2 linked regions of the Danio rerio genome follow. The protein of the gene in region 1 binds, or shares a complex with, the protein of each later gene. Links are inferred from orthologs where the notes say so. Each region holds a gene or a part of one and is shown in the gene's direction. Other genes may lie near its edges.

Region 1 (10,217 bases):
CCGTGACTTGAATTTTGAGAATGTATATTTGTTATTAATGCAATGTTACATATTTTGCATGTACTTTAGTCGATTTATTCTAATGTGGTATAACATTTGAAAAAGTAAAACTGTGAGGTAAACGTGGATACAGCACGTTTAGATATAATAACATAGATATTATAATTGTGGGTGAGATTCTTTGGTGAAAAAACTGCTGTTTTCACATTTCTATTGCAATGTGCTTTGCGTTGTTGAATCAGTGACATTGCAATAGTACTGCAAACATTTAACTATTTATGCCACGAATTTATGCACATTTGCAAATGATACAGAATGTAGGTTAACTTTGGAAAGATTCAATTCCATGCATGTATTATTCTTGGCCGCAATTAACTTAACTCCCAGATAATATAAAGTAGGCTATATAGTACTATACCTTTGTAATAAAATAAACATATACATTGTGAAATTATTTACATTGGGATTAAAGGGTTTTATTAACGTTACATGTGGATATATAACTATCACAGCTATGGGAGGTACTAAATGTAGCGTTTGGCAATCAGAAAATTAACTACTGAATGCCGCGACTGACTTACTGTAATCTGATATTTCGTACAGTCGTGTAATAACATGCCATCATATTAAAAACAGCCTCAATGTGCGCTGAACTACACTCTTTTGAACGTAACGATCAAATGTCATTCGAGCCGGCCAGCTTGAGCTAAACCGCCCTAATGACGTCATACACGCTTCAATGTTTTGGGTCCTTCATCATTGTGGTGGCTAAAAAGTAGCCTGAAAAAAATGTTGTACATTTATTTCACTTCTGACAGCAAAGCGTTGCTTGTAATGACTGTAAATCTTTACCAAATAAACTTAGATTTTGTCTAAATATATCCAGGCTTCTAGTGAAATTCATTGCTTGTGATTTTACTGGAATTTGAAATCTGTTCTGTTTTTTTGAACGGCGGAGCGGAAACGCGCCTGGCGCCAAATTTCAAGTTTAGATGGTTGAACTGAAAGCAACGCCGGGGCTTTTGGAGGTTGTTTTCATCAAGCGTTGTTAGTGGATTTTACTCATATCATTTCGATAAAATGTACATAAAGTCGATTGTACTAGAGGGCTTCAAGTCCTACGCCGAAAGGACAGAGATTAACGGATTTGATCCGTTTTTTAACGCCATCACTGGACTGAACGGCAGCGGAAAGTCAAATATACTCGACTCCATCTGCTTTTTACTGGGGATTTCGAACCTTTCCCAGGTGAGGGTTTAAACATGCTTATTTATTATCAGAACTTAGCAATGTGTATAAATCCGTTTTTAAGGTGTGATTGCGTTATTTTGATTGTTGTTTAGCTTAACATTGTTTATTTTTGTTTGCAGAAAAACGAAATACAATCATTTTCATTGTTATATGTGACCCTGTAAGTTACCACAAAACTAGAGATACGTGCATTTTTTTGTATCTTAAACCTAAAGAAACAATCTTTCCACTGATGTATAACGTTACTTTTTTACGATAGGGCCACATTTAGCCGATATGCATACAACTGGAAGTTATTTGAAAATCTGAAATCTAAAATAAATAAAAAAATGCTAAGAAAAACGCCTTTGAAGTTTTCCATATTAGGTTTGCAAAGGGCATTATTAATCAGAAATTGAGTTTTTACCGTAGGAAAATTACCAAATGTCTTCACTAAACATGGTCTTTACTTAATATAACATTACCAGTAATTTTGGCATACAAGAATAATCAATAATTTTCACCTATACAATGTATTTTTGGCTACGGCCAAAATATAGCCTTCTTGTGATATAAGACTAATTTTGTGCTCCAGGGTCACATATGTTGTTAATAAATTGTATGATGACAACAAAAGGCAAACAAAATATAAGTGAATATTATATATTTATAACTTAAACTTAAACAAAAGATGTGCTCAATAAAATAGAAATACATATAACGACTTTTAAAGCTAAAGCTGCTTGTTTTGTAGGTTCGTGCCACAAATCTCCAAGATCTGGTTTACAAAAATGGCCTGGCTGGGATCACCAAGGCAACAGTGTCCATCACTTTTGACAACTCCAATAAGAAACAGAGTCCACTTGGGTTTGAGACGCATGATGAGATTACCATCACACGACAGGTAGATGACCTAAAATCAGTGCCATTTTCACTATAAGATAGCAGCTCACCTTTAAGAATGAGAATGTGAAGATGTTATTTGTGTTGTGCAGGTGGTCATAGGTGGTCGCAACAAGTACCTCATCAACGGCGTAAATGCGAACAACCTGCGTGTCCAGGATTTGTTTTGTTCAGTTGGCTTGAATGTCAACAACCCTCACTTTCTCATCATGCAGGTAATCATCATAAGAGAAGTTATATGGCCTCATAATATTCTACAATTATTATTGTTATAATTATTATTATCACATTTATGAAATAATGCTTTAAAAACTTTTTTACAATTTTTTTCCCCTGCAAAATTCAGATTTTATTTGATATAAGTTTGTTTTATATAGGTGAAAATAATATAGTGAATTTTAAGTTCTCAATGTTTTTATAAATCTTTTTGGGCCTGTGGTCCCAGGAATAATATATATATGTGTTTAATTTATTTATTTTTTTTTTAGATTCTGTTTTTGTGTGTTTAATATTTCTTTACACTGGTTTAATAGTTAATTATTAATCGTATGTAACTTAAAAAGCATTTTGAATTAAAATCTTGCAAGTGATTTACAACAGTTTATTAAGAGTTTAACAAAGCCTACATATTTAAAAAAAAAAAACAACACATAGATTAGGTTTAGCTATTTCTCAAATTGTGCAAAACTTATTGACAGGGAGGTTTAGAACATTCAATATGAAGTCTTTGTGTTTTCATATTCACAGAAACTAGTTCACATCATTGTTTGATTTGGTGTAAATTACCTCTTAATATTTTCATCCAAAATTTGCTAAATATTGCAATGCTGCATAATATAGCAAATTCCATTTGAATGGCTATTGAATCCTTAATATTGTACCCTTATTTTGGATTTGCATATCTCAAAACAGAGCAATTTCATTATTTTTACCTGTTTATTCCAGGGGAGAATCACCAAGGTTTTAAACATGAAGCCTCCTGAGGTAAGAGATCATTTAAATAAAAAGGAATAGTCAGTTTGATTAAACAAACAAAAAAAAAAAAAACGATACCAAGATGTTAATTTCCTATTTTTTCCATTTTTAGATTTTGGCCATGATTGAGGAAGCAGCAGGTACAAGGATGTACGAATGTAAGAAGATCAGTGCTCAGAAAACTATTGAGAAGAAAGATGCCAAGCTCAAAGAAATTCAGACTGTACGTACATTTAAATATTAATGTTCAACAACAATTTAATCTTTTGAAAATGTAATCCTAATATGTTTCTGTGGGTGTGGGACAGATCCTAGATGAGGAGATCACCCCTGCTATGGAGAAACTAAAGGAGGTAGGCATTTAATTTTTTTTAATTTTTCTTTTAGGTGTAGTTCATTGTAAAATAATGGTATTAGCATGGTGTTAGCACATTTACTTTTTACTGTCAAACCCCCCTCAAAAAACGTATGAATGAATAACAGATTAATAATAAATAACATATCTATAATTTAAAGTATTTGTGTAGATTAGATTAAAACCATATATTATTTATTTATACCTTTGGTATATTAATAATAAAGTAGCTAAATAATAAATAATGTAATCTAAAGGCTATACATTACTGTGTGCCTTTATGTGCTGCTTTGAAAAGCGTTTTCTAACAGCATCAGTTCCTTACTGCAGACAGAGTACATAGGACTCAATATATACTCATCCTTATGCCTTGTCCTACACTCAAAAAAATGATTAACTGGATTTACACATTTTTTTTAAGGTAGTTGGTTGCAAACCATTTATATGGGCTGAATTTAAACAAATTAAATTTAGTAATGTTTAACTTAATTGGTTTGTTTAAAATCAGACCGTATATAAAAGTTTTGCAACCAGTTACCTTAAAAAATGTAGTAAAGTGTATTGCTCTCATTTGCTTCTTCTCAGGAACGTGCATCCTATCTGGAGTACCAGAAGCTCATGCGAGAGATTGAACACCTGAGTCGGCTGTACGTGGCGTACCTGTTTGTGTGTGCCGAGGAAACCAAGCTGAAGTCTAATGAAGAACTGCAAGAGATGCAGAGCTCCATCGCAAAGCTGCAGGAGAACATGAAACAGAATGAGGCCAAAGTGAAGGAGCTCAGTGCAGAGATACAGGAGCTGGAGCGCAGGAGAGACAAGGTGAGTGGAGAACAAACAGCCAGATCTAAAAACAAGGGCAGGAATTAATAGTGCATTCATTGGGAATATTCATTAAGGGGGCAATTCCTGTCTAACAAAGTCCATCAGAGTAGTGGGGGGCAGGCCCAAGGAGAACAAGGGCTCACTTATGGATTACTTATTATAAAAACTGAGCAGATTGCTCCGTTTTTGGCTAAATAAATAAAAAATGTAAATTATAATAATTCCTTACTTGTATATAGCACTTTTCTGGACACTTAAAGCATTTTACACATTGAGGGAATCTCCTCATCCACCACCAGTGTGCACCACTGATGATGCCACCTGGATGTTGTTTCAGTGATTCATTTAAATTGCTATCAGATTTTATTTGCTAAGCTAATTTCCGCCTCTTATAATCTACTGAGACTTTTAATTATTATTAATTATTCGATTTAAAAAAATGCAAATATTTTTTTTTTCCAAAGTTCAAATGCAAATATTTTTTTTCTGTAAAATATTCTATTTACATATTGTGTAATGATATTTACATCACAATATATTTTACCATCACAAATATGCAAACATAGTGCATGTAAGAGAAAAGGAGTACAGAGAAACAGAGAACAGTATCAGATCAGTAAGAATACAAATTGTCCTTGTGTTTATACATAGTTTTAAGATAATTTATAAAAGAACACCACTTTTGTTGCTGTTGTTTTTTTTTTCTTTCAAATTTCTAATAAGTTTTTTTCAAAACATGTCTTTCTTAAGAACAGATATGCTACCTACTATTAAAAAAAAGGTTTAGTTAAATATTTCAATCCGCACCAGTGCATTAAACTCATTTATACTGTTACACAGAAAAATTCTGTGTAAAATACAGTTGAAGTCAGAATTATAATTTTTTTCTTTTTAAAATATTTTCTAAATAATGTTTAACAGAGCAATGAAATTTAGATTTTTTTATATTGTTTGATTTCGGCTAGAATAAAAGGAGTTTTTATTTTTTTAGAAACCATTTTAAGGTCAAAATTAATAGCCCTGTTGAGCTATATATTTTTTCGATACACAATCGTTATACAATAACTTGCCTTATTACCCAAACCTGCCTAATTACCATAGTTAAGCCTTTAAATGTCACTTTAAGCTGTATAAAAGTGTCTTGAAAAATATCTAGTCAAATATTATTTGCTGTCATTATGGCAAAGAAAAAATAAATCTGTTATTAGTAATGAGTTATCAAAACTTTTATGTTTGGAAATGTTTGGAAAAAAATCTTCTCCATTAAACAGAAATTGGGGGAAAATATAGACAGGGAGGCTAATAATTTAGGGGGTTTAACAATTCTGACTTCAACTGTAAATGTTGTGCTTTTCAACTTTCTCTTTATAAACAGTATATCACAGTTTTTACTTAAAAATGGCATAACTGTTGTCAGCTTTGATAATATTAAGCCAATCAATTGAGCATTTTATAATGATTTCCGAAGATCACATGACATTGAACTCAACTCATGAATTCAGCTTTGCTATAACAAGAATAAACATCTTTTTAAAACCTGTATTTCACAGTGCTGCTTTTATGGTATTATTTTTTTAGATACGCAACCTTAAAAGACCTTACAAACTGCTAAATCAAAGTGTATTCACAATTCATCTTATAGTACTGAATTGAAACAAGTGGTGAACAAATGTCAAATTCCTCCATCAGAGATGAGACCTTTTATCAATGTTTACATTTTAAACAAGTGGCAAGAAGACGGGATGCATTAGAAAATAATACATTACATGAAATCCAACCTGAAATCTCACAGATTGTTAAGAGATTTTAAGACTAGATTTGATCAGGTGATTTTTACCAGACACAATACAAGAATAACCCATGTTTTTTGCTCCAATGTGAAATCCCTACTCGGTGTTTGTGCTGCACGACTCCCCTTAAAACACATTTTTCTGGACTGTCCTGCTTTTACTGATTCCAGAAGACTTTTAAATGAATTGAACTCTCATAAGGACATTTTTAGCAAAGTGACAACAAAAAAGATTTTAATATTTTTATTATGTAATAACACTAAAAAACTTATTTAATTGATGTGTTCCTTATTGATTTTTAATTGTATATTTATTGAAATGTTCCTCCCATGAAAATAGCCTTGGTCACTGACATGGCATTAAATAAAAAATGCAATACATTATAGTTCTGAATATAAGTGTATTCACAACTGTACCATTCAAACATGTAAACAATATATGACTACACTTACTATTTTAATCATAAGTTATCTGAAATGCAGTGATTTAAAAAATGTGATAATGTTTCCTTTAATCTAGCAATATGTATTGTATAATTAACTCAGATTATATAAAACGTTTATTAATTAGAAATAGTAATTGTTATCATGGTTATTTTTTTGCATGTATAATTTTTTCATCTTGAAATTTTGTGTTGTAAGTTATTGCGGCTGCATCTGTTGTGTAGCTTTAGTTGTGTCAACTGTCAAAATGTTCTATGCAGAGAGGAAAACTGTCTTTAATTTATTCAAAATGATTTGTGGTTCTGATTAAACTCATCCAAGGTCCAAATCTGGACCGCAGTCTGCGGTGGGGTGACCTCGAATTTAAATAGTTTGGGTTTCTTTTACTTGAACAGGTTTGGTAATCGAGTACTTTTGTGGAGACTGGAGGTCTGTAATATGGGATGGGATGGTGGGTAATGGACTGGCAAAAGTATTAAAATCATTGTACGGGAAAAGATTTGTGAATTTTTAATGATGCAAATTGATACCTGTTAGAAAAGTGTGCGGTTGATTGATTGAATATTTCTGTCTCCTGTTGTACTCCATTAGCTCGTCTCATTTCTGTGTCTGTCTCTCTTTCTCTCCAGGAGGTTGGGGGGGTATTGAGGACGCTGGAAGAGACCTTGTCTGAAGCACAGAGAGTGGACACCAAGGCCCAAAGTGCCCTGGATCTGAAGAAGCAAAACCTGAAAGATGAGACCAAGAAGAGGAAAGAGCTGGTCAAAAACATGGAGGAGGTATGAGATGATGCTGTCCTTTATTCAAATTAGGCTTTTGTATTTGCTTTTTGGTTTTCCACTCTTTGACTTAAAGGTAGTTCACCCAAAAATGGAAATTTACTCAAGTGGTTCCAAATATTTGAGTTTTATTTAATCTGTTGAACCCAAAAGAGATATATTGAAGATGCATACAATTCTTGTTTGTCGTCTCGCGCATTGTGTCTGTTTGTGTCTGTAGATTTCAGTTGCAATATATATTTTTACTACTTCACTCTCTTAGACATAAATCTCCTTCATCTCCTAATAGCACTTACACCAAATGTTTTATTCATATCTGTATTCTGTGGGTTGTTCTATAGGTTTGTACATTTTATTCTACTTTATTTTTCTGGCAGTTTATGGTACTTGTTGAATTATGCAGTGAGTAAAAATAGATGCTCAAAGCACCCTCTTTAAAAGCCTTTGATTTGTAATATGTCAAAAGAAAATGACACCAAATTTTTAACTTGATGTTGAACAAGAAATGTATGCAAATTAGAACTTATAATGAAATAATAACTTAATAATTACCAAATATTTACAATTTTTAATGTATTAAGTCAACTAGGGAACTCTTAATTTATATTTACCCTATTTATCTAATGTCTTGCCTTTTGAGTGTTGGATGTTTAAAATACTTTAATTGATATTTAAAAATGTAAAGAAATTTAAGCCCCTTATATAAAGTATTAAGTCTTAAATGCTATTTTGCAAGGTATTACATTTTATATCATTTTTGTTTATGCAATGTATAGTTGTATGCTATAGTTTGCCTGAATTAAATCAGCGAATATCAGGATGCTGTGTAGTTTATGAAATCAATAAAATCTTGTTAGATTTAACATTATGGTGCTTTGTTTACTGCAGTAATCAAGCCAGCAACATTATTTCTGCAGTTCTATATTCGCCAACCTGCTGAATTAGTTAGATTTAATAGATTTTTATTCAGTATATCAATAATGGTTTAGTTTTGGATTAATTTCTTACATTAATATTTAGTAAATATGCTGCAAGTTAAAATCTTACCAGTGTTTACGATTGAAAAGTGGTATTAAGGTCTTAAAGTGTGCAAAGAGTCTTAAAAAGGTCTTAAAAGGTATTGAATTTCACTCTTTGATTCCTGTATATACTATGAAATGGATTCAACATGGAAATTAAAATTTAATAAATATATTTTTAAAAACTATTTTAATAAATTGTTTAAAATTGGTGTGTTGATTTAAGGAAGTGTCAATTTAAACGTGTACTTTGTTTGCACTAGGATAAGAAGGTGATGTCCGCTAAGGAGGCCGAGGTCGCTAAAGCAGTAGAGCGTCTGAAGGCAGTGAAGGAAGAGGGCCAGAAGGACGCAGAAGCGCTGGAAGCAGCACAGCAGCATTTCAAGGCAGTGTCAGCTGGTCTCTCTGCCAATGAGGATGGAGCTGAAGCCACACTTAGTGGCCAGATGATGACCTGCAAGAATGACATCAGTAAAGCTGAGACGGAGGCCAAACAGGTGACCTTTAGAGACCGTCAACACTGGCTGCATTCCACTGCACTTTTACTAACACATTCACTAACTTCCCTTCCCTTGTTCCCTATGGGCATCCCTCACTGCCATTTTAAAGTGCGTTTCACTTCATCAAGTGAATGAGGGTAGATTACATGGACATACTCTTAAATTCATTCGTCCACCCCAGCACCTATATGTCCCAGAATGCAATGCAGCTGCAACTGCTCAAGGATTTGGGGTGTTTCATTTAAACTCATTTAGATGTTTCACCAGTAGTGGGCACTTCTGTCAAGTAATCAATGACATATATTCGAGGAAACAAGACAGTGAATTTAGCGGGTAAAAAGGCATAAAAAACTGGAGTAAAATGCAGCCAGTGTTCACATTGATCAAATATTTTTGTCCACAGTATATACCTCAATAACTGTTCACTGAGCATACTATTACTATTGTAATATAAGTATTGTTTACTGTCTGTGTTACTAAAATCAATAATGTCTCTAGACTACCCTCAACTTTATGAATATTGTGAGTCTACTGTTTAACCGTTTGGGCAATGATGAGGTTTTATTTATTTATTTTGACAAGTTTTTTTTTTTTTTTTGCAATTTAAAATAATTGTCTAAACTGTACATTTTATTTTAAGAGAGCATCCTTTTATTTTTGTTATGGCAGAGCTGAATTTTGCTAAATTCAAGAAAGCATCTTTTAATATTCAGATTTGATGCTCAAAAAATATTTATTTTGAGTGGTATTTACTAAAAGTAAACCCATTAGGACGAAGTTAAGTATTTTTATTTTTTTTTGCCAGACATTGTTTTACAATAAAAGTTAAAAAGACATAAAGTAAAAAAATCATTTAACTTTTGTTTCTTTATTATATTAGCATTTTCGTAATTGTTTTGCCTTAAAAATTGCCTGAGATGCTCACATGGCTTTAAATAAAAAAATACAATATAATAAAACGTTTAGTGTTAAATGGTGTTTAAATGGTTACAACAATTTACCTCAATTTGATGAATAGAAAGCTCAAAAGAACAGGATCTATTGGAAACATTGCATTGATTTATTTTTTTGTAATAGTAATACATAGGGATAGGTGATTAATCGAAAAGTAATTGAAATCGACATTCAGAACCAATAACCAATCTTATTTTTCCAGGTCAAATTGTTTTTAATTACTCGCCTTACTGCATGTGGAGTCATATGACCCTGCTCTGTTTGTTATTATTGGGTTTCTTTTGCTACATTAATGATTGACGAAGCTGCGCCAGAGATTCATTGTTGAGACGCCATACTTTCCATTACATTAAAATAATTTTTTTAATTAAAACATTTGTTAATAGAAGATGCAAGAAATACACTGTTTTAAATATTATTTACAGGATATGCAAGAGTTACTTTATT
Region 2 (10,661 bases), about 4.1 Mb from region 1:
GCAAGCAGGTATGCATCTGGTCAGGTACTTTTGAACAGAAATATGATGGCAAATTCAAATGCCAAAATGAATTGAGTGCACTGGTAATGTTTACTTGCTAGGTCAAGTGAACTGCGAGAAGATAACAGACCTACACACGCGGAAACTGGCGGCCGTTCGTGTATTATATAAAAATGGACTTTTATTTAACATTCATTTAATCTATCTAAAAAATGTTATTTTGTAAGTGACGTTTAAAGTAGTGGTTCTAGATTTCATCAGTGTGTGTGTGTGTGTGTCCCACAAAAGATGAAATCTTAGAACCACCCCTGTAAACAGATTAAAATCAAAAATTGTTTACGTATTGTATTTTATATACTTTAAGTCTCATTGATTCAATGACTTTCTTCATAAAGACTTCATGTTTCAATAATTTTTAAAGAATATTATAGTGACAGACATTTAGATGGGTGTTTGTCGACACCTATTGGCACAAAAATGTAATTCCTACATCTTCATTTGAATAGCTACTCAGTATGTATGGCAATATACATTACATTTCCCTTCAGAGGCACAAAAATACCAATTCTCTAAGTACACCTCATGGCCACATCTTATAGGACACATATATAGTGGAGTAGCAGAATAATGGCAATATATTTATGTATTTTGTGCATTTAATGCATGTATAGCTTATTTTGAATAACAATATTTATTGAAAATATATAGAAAATTAATCAGAATTTTTTTTTTGATAAATTTGATCACATTTAGGTTGAGCACAGTTTAGGCGTAGCTGCTAAACTTAATCAAAACAAAAAAGTGATAGCTGGTGACATTATGATATTAGTATACAACACCTATTATTAGCTGTTTGTTTTCAACACAGACAATCAACGAAATACAACTGTCAAAGGCAGCGCATCTGTAAAAAGTAAATCTATTTGGACTATAGCTTGGCATTACTCACTGTCCCTTTAGTCAAAAATAATACATTTTGTGTGAGCAGAGAGATGGGGATCTCACCAGTGCGCTCGATTCTTTTTGCCATCATACAGAAATCCTGAAAGTAGTTTAAAGTTCAGCCACAAATAAAATTCTGCTATTTACTTTTCTTCAGGTTCCAAACCCACAGTAATTTTTATTTGAGTAAAGTATAGGTTTTGTTAATAATGAGACCTGAAACCCCATTTCCACTTGGTAATAACATGCATTTTCAGTCATCCAATTACAAGTCGTCATCCCAGATGCATTTTTTTAAAATCTAGTATTATTATGCATTCAAGTGAGGCACGACCACTTCTGTTTAGATTTCTGAGACTTTTATTGTTTTCGTGAGCAAAAAGGCAAGCAAATGCAATATATTATTACATTCTTGTGTTTTGGTACATAAGTGAAGTATAGATATTTTGTTTTGATGTGCTTTCTCCAAATATGTCCCATAACCATCACATGTTAGGTCAGTTGGCATAAAGTATGTTGTCTGTACAAATGCACATTATCAAGTAAAATTGTGTGTGACAATTTTTTTTTATACTTAATGTGAGCGCACTAAAGGAGACTTGGTTTGGCGATTCTGGATCCTACTGGAAAAATACAAATTCTTAATTTTTTTTTTCTTTCGTTTGCTCCAGCATGGCATTGACCACACTTAAACTGACAGACAACAATTAAAGTAGTATGCAGATAGTTTATTGCGGATGAGACAAGATTTTGTAAAACAAACGCAACTACATCATATTATTCATGTGAAACTATCAAACGCTATCAAAACTGCCATTTCGTCAAGTTTAGTAGTTTGCTAACCATTAACAAAGTGATAACATTCATGAAGTCTAAAATTCATAATCATTTATATAAAATATTTGAATTTCACTCGTACACAAATTTTTGTTAATGAACAATACAGCAACATTTTACTGCTTCTATATGTGTTATGGGGTTTGGTCTAGGAAAATGTTTCAATTGATTTCTTTTTGCTTTAACATCAATGTAAATGTATAGAGCATCTAAAAAAACGTAATATTTGAGTAAACTAACCCAATAATGTTACTGGCATTTAAATGAAATGCATTGTTGTAAGTGCACAGCAAGATATTTACAGTTTCTCCTGAAATTGTTGTACACTAGAGCAAATCAAGAGTGTGTGGAGGAGAGTTTCCTACCAACCATGAGAACACTGTTCAATGCTCCTGTGACCTCTCCGTTGTCTGAGGTAGACGCGTCCAATGTGGCTGAATTGTTTGTTGAACTAACACGACCCAGTGCTCTCGTGCAACCTGCGGTCGTACAGGTACAGTGAAACTTGCATGTACACTTACAAAAGTTTCAGTAGTGCCTCTGTTTGAAGCACTTGAATCTGTTAATATATCATCTAAGTGATCAAACATCTCTTTTGCAGGCTGTGTCAGTTCATGATTCGCTGGCGTTGCGTGTTTGTAATGAGATCTTGAGAGATGTTTCTGCTCCTGAAGTGCGCCTCTACTGCAAAACTCTCAGCTGGCTGGAGATTAACACTGAACCTGGACCTGCCAACAATGAACTGCAGCTCCTGTTAAAAGACATATTACAGGTACTGCCATGTCTTTTGTAAAAGTGCATAAAAGAAAAGATTGTCAGATTAAGGCAGAAACACTTGACAATGAAATGGGCTGTCAAATTTGATTGGCATTAAAGGGCACCTATTTTAACCCTTTTACAAGATGTAAGATGAGCCTTTGGTTTCTCCAGAATGTGTCTGTCAAGTTTCTCCTCAAAATACCCATCAGATCATTTATTATAGCATTCACAATACCCCCATTTTGGTGTCCGAGTACAGTGTAGTCTTTTTAAGGTGCATTTACACTAGGCTATCCGAACTCTGCCCGGGTGCATTTCCAGAGTTGTTTGACGTGTAAGTGCTCTGAATCAGGCCCAGGCGAGATTCAGTTGGCAGTTTCTGGTGTTTAAATAAACACTTATTGTCATAGTTTATTAAAGATACAAACCCCCCACTGCATGTCAGCTGCCACCTTCAGCAGACTTCCTAATACCTGCAGCACAAAGACATTTATGAACATTTATTAGCATCAAAAGTGGTGGATCTGTTCGGCAGATTATTTGACTGTGTGCCTCTGCATATCAAACGACTTAAAATAATGAAAAAACGCTATAACTAAAGCAATCTACTGTGAGCAACAGCACTTTACTTCCCGTTAAACTGAACAGTCGCATCATCGATGACGTATGTGTGCTTCGGCTCGCAAGGTAAAGATGCAGTATGGGTGCAGGCCTAGGGGGACAAGTGTGCTTCAACACGGTTGACGGGGGGTTTCTATAGGCAATAGGAACAATAAGAGGTTAAGGAGAGAAAAATAAAAACTATTTATTGCAATACTCATTTTGTTTTACTTAAAAGCCAAGAAAAGTACACTAGTTCCCAGTGTATTGTATAAAAACAATTTACACTGAAATCTCACAGCTGCTGGTAGCCCATGTACAAACTGGGGAACACATAAAATCCTACACTTTGAAAATAAACATTCATGTGAAGATAAATTGGCCATTTCAGATAAACATATTTGTACTTAAGTAAACATAAATAAACCATCTTAATTATCTCGGTGCTGAAAAAATGTGAGACTGTAGTCTGTAATGTGGATCTAGTGCTTTTATAAAATGACAAAAGCCCACCTCTCCAATCACAAAAAACGGCTGCAAATCTTTAGCAATAAACACCCTTTGTTATTTTTATGTGTCTCTCTGAACCAGTTGGGTATGTTTGCTTGAAAGATTCAGTAAGGTATTGTTTTTATTTGGAGGACTTTATTACCTTCTCTGCTATCCTGCCTTCAGACAGTGATATTGCTGGGTAATGGCGCTGCAGATGTGTAGTCATGGTTATACGTGTAAAACAATGCTTGCACAGTTATGTAGTGTTCACCGTTTTTCTTTTATTGGCATTTTACTTACCGGCAAAACCGAAATGTCCTCACACCGCAAATTTGAAAGAGGTCGGCGCTTTCTCATACTGTTGCCTCACTTCGCCAGCGTTTCCTTGTACTGTTGCTTCAGCCTCACTTCATCGCCGCTCGCAATGTTAAAGTGTGGAATGATGGTCAAGCGCCCCCTAACTTTAGAGCATAGTGATTTGATATTCCTCATCTTAGCTAATGGATTTAGAGGCGCACACAGTCAATTCAGGGAGATATGGAACGCACAAATTATTTAAATGCAAAACCGGAAAAACTGCAATTCACAAGCGCATATTGAACTGTGGAGGTCGTACCGTACAGTTTAATATTATATTGAGAACCGTGGCATCCCTACTGTGGTGATTATAGCAGTTAAGAGTTACATAGCGATTTTATTGTCTTTATTACAAACATGATCTGTTGTAAACTTTAGAAGCTTTAAAAACTTTAAAAAAAACAAATCAGAGTTGGAACAGATAATTTAATACCAGTGTCCTTGCAAAAAGAAAACACAATAAGTCACACAATGTCATTACGAAGTACACACACACACGCACGCACGCACGCGCGTATAGTTTTGCACCGCTTTTGCATGTCCGGGATTGAAGCGTCTTCTTTTATAATTGTACTGATGTGGCTGTGGTGCTGAAGTAAATCGCTGTAATTAATTAAACATGCACTGTTTTAAAACATTTTAAACTGGTAAAACTCACTCTTGATCACATTTGATGATCCTAGCAAACTGAACAGATCCTTTTTTCCTGGTTGCTTTGCACACGTCCTGTTTTGTTGATATGATTATATGGGTTACTACAGAGACATGTTAATACGCAGCTGTCAATCAATTTGGTTGGCGTAGAAACCGCACTCCTACATCAAGTTGCAGTTGGTCTGTAAACCGCTCCAATTGGTCCACCATTTTTGTTGTTAAATTGAAAAAACTGACTGGTTGTGTTTAAATCGCCCCAATATGATGGTATATACACTATATCTACACACGTCTGTCCAAACAGCTTGAACAGTAAATTTTTTTCAACATAGGTGCCCTTTAAAGCAAGTGATTGATTGTGTAGTGACTACCACATCTTTGTCTTGTGTTACAGGAAGTGAAAGATAAGTACTGCACAAGGGTTATTGAAAAGCTTTGCAACCAGCTAATCGGAGATCATGGTTCCAAATCAGCCAGTAACCAGGACACAGCTTTGCTTAACTTGGATGAAAACAATGGAGGTACTAGCAAGCATAATGTAGTTTTGCATCCAATTTTTGATGAGATTATTACGATTCAAATTAAGACTGGTTTAGAATTGCTTTAACTAGACTGAACATTCTTGCAGAGTTGATGAACAAGGATGAGACGAAACCTAAACGAGCAAAAAGAGGTCATTGGCTTTTTCTTTTTGTCTTATGTTTGTGTTGGGTTGACAGGTAAATGTTTGATAGCTTGTATTCAGCTTCCACTCTTTTTTTTGTCTTTTTACAGGCCAGAAAAAAGCTGCCACTGCAAAGAATGGAAAAAAATCTTATAAAGCAGACATGTCTTCTGATGAAAGGTTGGACTGCGCTACAATTTGACTTTTTTCTCAAGCTGAGATGCTAACTTTTTTGCAGGTGGTTTATTTTAATTGCGCTATTGCTAAAATATCTTTCTTTCTTTATATATATATATATAGTGATGAAGAGAATATTCCTGAAGAGGCTCCATCAGTGCGACCAAGCCGACGTGCAAAAATTGCTGCTCTGGATAAAACCAAGCAGGATCTGACTGCCCTCATAAACCAGGAGGCCAATGGTTCATAAGAGTGGATTATTTGAGAGGGGCGTCTTTCAACCAATGATGTCCTCAGTTTTACCTGAGAAACTACTGGTGGATTTGAATACTAGCGTTCTCTCTCTTTAGTTTAAATACTGGTAAATATTGATGTATTCTAAGATTGTTGGTTAAAATGTGCCATCTGCAGTCCTTTTCATGTGTGTAGGAGGCATGCCAATTCATTTGCTTGTTTGAACCTGTAAACAAATGCACAAGGAAGTGGACTGAACTCACCCCCTTTTATAATTGGCTATTTTAAGAATGTTGGTCTGATTATGTGAATGTTCATACCTTTATATAATTAATATGTGAGAGCTGATAAAGAAGCTAACTCCTGTTTCAATTGAACTTTTGTATGCTTTTAACTGAAATAAAACAAAATCTGTTCACAAGAGCTTTTATTGTTTTAATGATTGAGACAGCATCTTTGAAGGCAAGTATAAAAAACACAGAGAAAACACAATACATGTACATAAGTTATACGATTATGTACAACTTGTAGCACCAGGTAACAAATATACAGTGGCCAAAAAAAACAATATACAGAAGACCTAACAGGTCTTATAACAAGCTTCAACTCCAGCTGTCGGTTGGCATAGGTGTACAGGCAAAATGTACCTTTCCCTTTTTTTTTTTTTTTTTAGCCTTGTCTGTTTGACACTGTAGTACTTCGAATGGTTGTGACCCTAAAAGCACTAGTTGGGATTGCTGAGGTTTGTGCAGACATTCATGTTGGCACTGCCACTGGTTATGTAAAGGGTAACTGAAAAGCATTTAGCAGCCTGGCCTACCAGTTAGAGAGTTGGACTTGTGTTCCTAAAGGTCAGTGGTTCAGTTCCTGGCAAAGGTTTTAGGTGAGGGGGTAATGAATAACCGGCACTCTTTTCCTCCCACGATTGAAGTTGAGTCCCCACTAAACCCGCAGCTGCTCCAGGTGTAAGACACTCCACAGTGTTAGAGTGAGTGAATGTCTAAACATGCTAAATTGTTTAATTTCTGCCGTTTTAGAACAAACACTAGCTGACATTCCCCAGACACAAAGGTTTAAATCCAGTAGAACATATTAGATAATGTCAAAGACCAGTTTCTCAAAGCTTAGATTATCAATCTGACTACATTTTAAATGCACAGATGCAAGCCAGTCTTGTTAAAAGGAACCTAAATTAATTTTGGTGACCAACAGAAGCTAAAGTAGCAGTAGGACTAACAACAAATGTTAAATAAATAACTAAACATGGCCTAAATCAAGGACAAGGTCACAACAATACATAATCATTTCAGGCTGAACTACCATGACTTACCAGTACAGTTTAGGAGGTAGGTGTCATACTGCAAGATCACAATTTAAGATTTTCACAAGGTATGCTTTTCTTCCCCAAGAAACGATATGTGGAGCACATTTGCTTCAGGATAATCTTAAAAGCTTTTAATTTAAGAGAAAGTAAAATAGACTTTTACATCTTTCTAAAAGTAAAACATTGCACTAAAATACACTGTACGTTACAACTTTTGTTGTAGTTAGAAATAAAATGAAATGAGAAGCAGGAGGGGTTTGGTAGTGCAATAAGAACAAGGATGTAGATTAATGCTTAAATGATTTCCCACAAAACAGTCAAACAATCTAAATTCCAGTCAAATATTTCTGTAAAGTAATGATAATAATAAAGTGACTGAACTTAAAGTAAAAACACTACACTCACTTTCAAATTTAAAAGTTCTATTTGAATGGCCAGTTTTTGTCTTAGTGGCAACATTTATAGCACATAAGACTCCTATCAAACATTGGCAAATCTAAAAATAAGATCATTTGTATCCTTTAAAAATGTAAATGTGAAAAAAGTTGTCTTCAGAAAGTTTTAAAATCACAGGCTGACACCCAGACAACATACTGCTCATGTAACCTTTCATACTCCTTCATGCAAACAGATCTTCTGGTCTGCACCAAAAATAAAGCCAAGTAAAAAAATGAAACGTTTTACAAATAAAATATTTAAATAGTGCAACAAGTGTCAAATGAATTTTTACGTTGTTTTTGCTACACGACGCTTGCTGAGGTTGTGTGTCGTAATGCTTTTGATACTCAGCCAGACCACTGTTGAAAGGCACCTTGTGTTAAGAGTTCAAGAAAATGTCTTGCCCGAAACTGGTCCCAAGTTACTTTAATGATCCTGTAAAACACAAAACAGAGACACTTATATTTGATTGCAGCCTACAATATTTACAACACATCACAAACAAAGTTTAACAACACAAAGTTAAATCTATACAAAAGATAAAATAATCGTAACTGATATTATGAATCAAACATTCTTTATAGCAAGTGTCACCAATCTCATTCCTGGAGGTCCGGTGCCCGGCAGGGTTTAGCTCCAACTTGTCTCATCACACCTGCCTGGGTAATTCAAATGCACCTAGTAAGACCTTGATTAGCTTGTTCTGGTGTTTTTGATTAGGGATGGAGCTAAAATCTGCAGAACACCGGATCTCCAGGAAAACGTTTGGTGATCCCGGCTTTATAGAGACCAGAAACATACTTTAAGCCCATTTGCAGACGAGTTATTAAAACACATTCCGGTTGAACACACTTGAGTTATGTTACACTTTCTAGCAGACCTCAGAAGTTTAGGGGTAGTTGACCAAAAACAAATAAAAAAAGTTTGCTGTACTATTTAAAATAGTAAAAACAAAACAGCAAAAATAAATAAATGAAGCCATGCACACCAAGCGATTTATAATAAGACATCGAAGAGAAGTCAAACCAGGGGTTTTCAAACTGTGGGGCGCACCAGCATCTATTAAGGGGGCGTGCACTTGAGTAAATTATGACAGTTTTTGTGTGCTCACTAGAGTAATTCCGATTAACCTTAGCTCCACATATAACTATCAGGCACATATAAAGTTCATGCGTTCCAGTAAAATATATGCAAATAAAATGGAGCGGGTGCTTTTTAAAATGAATGACGGTGAATGAAAGTCAAACCGGTGAGCGTCTAACAAAAAAGTGCACTTCTGCATCAAATCAGCAGAATGCCCTTCTGGATCTTTCACTATCTTTGAAGACACACTGACTATGTTTACATAGATATCAGTAATGTAGTTATTTGCCTTAATAGACAATAATATAATTAAGGTGTTTACTTGAAGTGCTTTTATGTAAGAGTTTCCTGTAATTTTGGGGGACTTTAACTACAGTTGGGCACACTGCACAAAAAGATTTTCTTACTTAGATTTTTTTTTGTCTTGTTTCTAGTCCAAATATCTAAATGGTCTCAAATCAAGAAGCATTTTCTAGACAAGCAAAACATATTGTCTTGTTTTAAGAAATAATATGCCAAAATGAAGTGAGTTTTTTCTTAAGCAAAATAATCTGCCAATGGGGTAAGCAAAATAATCTTATCACAAATCGAACGACAAGATTATTTTGCTTGGGGGTGTCCTAAAAGTTTGAAAACCCCTGGTCTAAACATAGAGGGCTTGGCTTAACCAAATGTAATTTTGGGTTATCAGTGGAAAATCTAAGGATCCAGAGAGGATCAAATAAATAAATGAGTTTATCTAACTGACAGGGCATCAACAAACTGCCGCAAGAAAACCGTTCCAGATATGATTTTCTTCATTATTTGTAGTGCTGATGAGCTTTTATTTTGATGATAAGTGTATATATGTATATATATATATATATATATATATATATATATATATATATATATATATATATATATATATATATATATATATAAGGGTGTAACAATACGCGTATTTGTATTGAAGCGTTTGGTACGAGACTTTCGGTTCGGTAAGCATTGCAAACCGAACGATTCAGACTAAAATAAAAAAAGACAAAAAAGAGAATAAATACAAAAAAGCCCGCAATGCTTGCCCCGCCTTCAAGCTCTTCTTATTGGCCCACTGCGATAGAACAGAACGCAAATGGATTGATTAATATCAGCTGTCAATCACTCAGTTCCAATGACAGGGTGCCACAGCCTATGAAAATGTAAAGATCTGGATCCGAGAAAATAAAAATAACACTGACAGATTTAGCTTTAGAAACCAGCTAGAGTTACAACTAATGGCACATCTGATTAGTGATCATGTGCTGAATGTCAATCCAGCATTCACACTTTTCAAAGAGTGCATAAAAGATTTCCATTGTTTAAAGTCTGCTATGACTAAAGCATTGACCGTAAAGCCGGTGGGACGGAGTTTTCAGGTAGTGTTTGTCTCATCTACACATTTTAAGCACGAGATGTTGTAACGTTATTTAATCCTTCATTTAATTGTCACGATGCATGATGCACGAGCATGCATTCACTGAGATGAAACTAATATTGCAGCTCATGCAAAGACAGTTGCTATTAAGTTGACTTATGCAAATAATATGTTATAATATCATCTGTGTAATATCAGACACCACCCGAAAAGTATAGGTCATGATTATTGTTAATTCGGTTAATTACATTCACGTCAAGAGGTGTGTGCAGGGCCGGTGAGAGCATGCAGATTTTTTATTTGATAGTTGTGATTAGAGTGTTAATATATAATAGAAATCTGTTAATGTAGAAACGGTGCTCATAATTCTTGGTGGGTGCGCCTAAATTTTTTAAGTTAGGAGAACCGGTGCTACCAAGAAAAAAAGGTTCATTTTGAGCCATTAATCGGTAGTGGAAATTTTGGGTTTTAAGAAAATGTTAATTGTAATAGAGCCCCGTTACATTATTGCTTCATAAGTTTCAGTCAGATAATTCTTGCTTTCAGATCCACTAAAATGGCAGGTGACATTCAAATAAAGCAGATCTGTGATGTCTGAAGAAAAGGTGGACACTCATATCTGAAAATAAAAAATTACTTAAAAATTTATTAAAACTAAGTTCCATATAAAATCTTAAATTATATAAAAAAAAGAACAATTTAAT

What was found. The genes of interacting proteins can lie anywhere in the genome.
Region 2: smc2 (region 1) and ncapg share a complex: the UniProt entries of both Homo sapiens proteins name them as parts of the condensin complex. The link is inferred for Danio rerio from reciprocal best matches to the Homo sapiens genes SMC2 and NCAPG.

Annotation. Positions count from the first base shown.
Region 1 is NC_133176.1:21,040,460-21,050,676, forward strand, and holds the start of smc2 (structural maintenance of chromosomes protein 2), read left to right. Parts: upstream 1-985; 5' UTR 986-1,080; coding exon 1,081-1,248; intron 1,249-1,984; coding exon 1,985-2,134; intron 2,135-2,225; coding exon 2,226-2,348; intron 2,349-3,078; coding exon 3,079-3,117; intron 3,118-3,220; coding exon 3,221-3,331; intron 3,332-3,416; coding exon 3,417-3,461; intron 3,462-4,048; coding exon 4,049-4,282; intron 4,283-7,147; coding exon 7,148-7,297; intron 7,298-8,579; coding exon 8,580-8,813; intron 8,814-10,217. UniProt on the Homo sapiens protein: Central component of the condensin complex, a complex required for conversion of interphase chromatin into mitotic-like condense chromosomes.
Region 2 is NC_133176.1:25,131,628-25,142,288, forward strand, and holds the end of ncapg (condensin complex subunit 3), read left to right. Parts: coding exon 1-8; intron 9-2,109; coding exon 2,110-2,272; intron 2,273-2,380; coding exon 2,381-2,551; intron 2,552-5,035; coding exon 5,036-5,162; intron 5,163-5,269; coding exon 5,270-5,314; intron 5,315-5,415; coding exon 5,416-5,485; intron 5,486-5,605; coding exon 5,606-5,732; 3' UTR 5,733-6,137; downstream 6,138-10,661. Other genes in the region: lcorl (ligand-dependent nuclear receptor corepressor-like protein), read right to left, coding at 7,900-7,913. UniProt on the Homo sapiens protein: Regulatory subunit of the condensin complex, a complex required for conversion of interphase chromatin into mitotic-like condense chromosomes.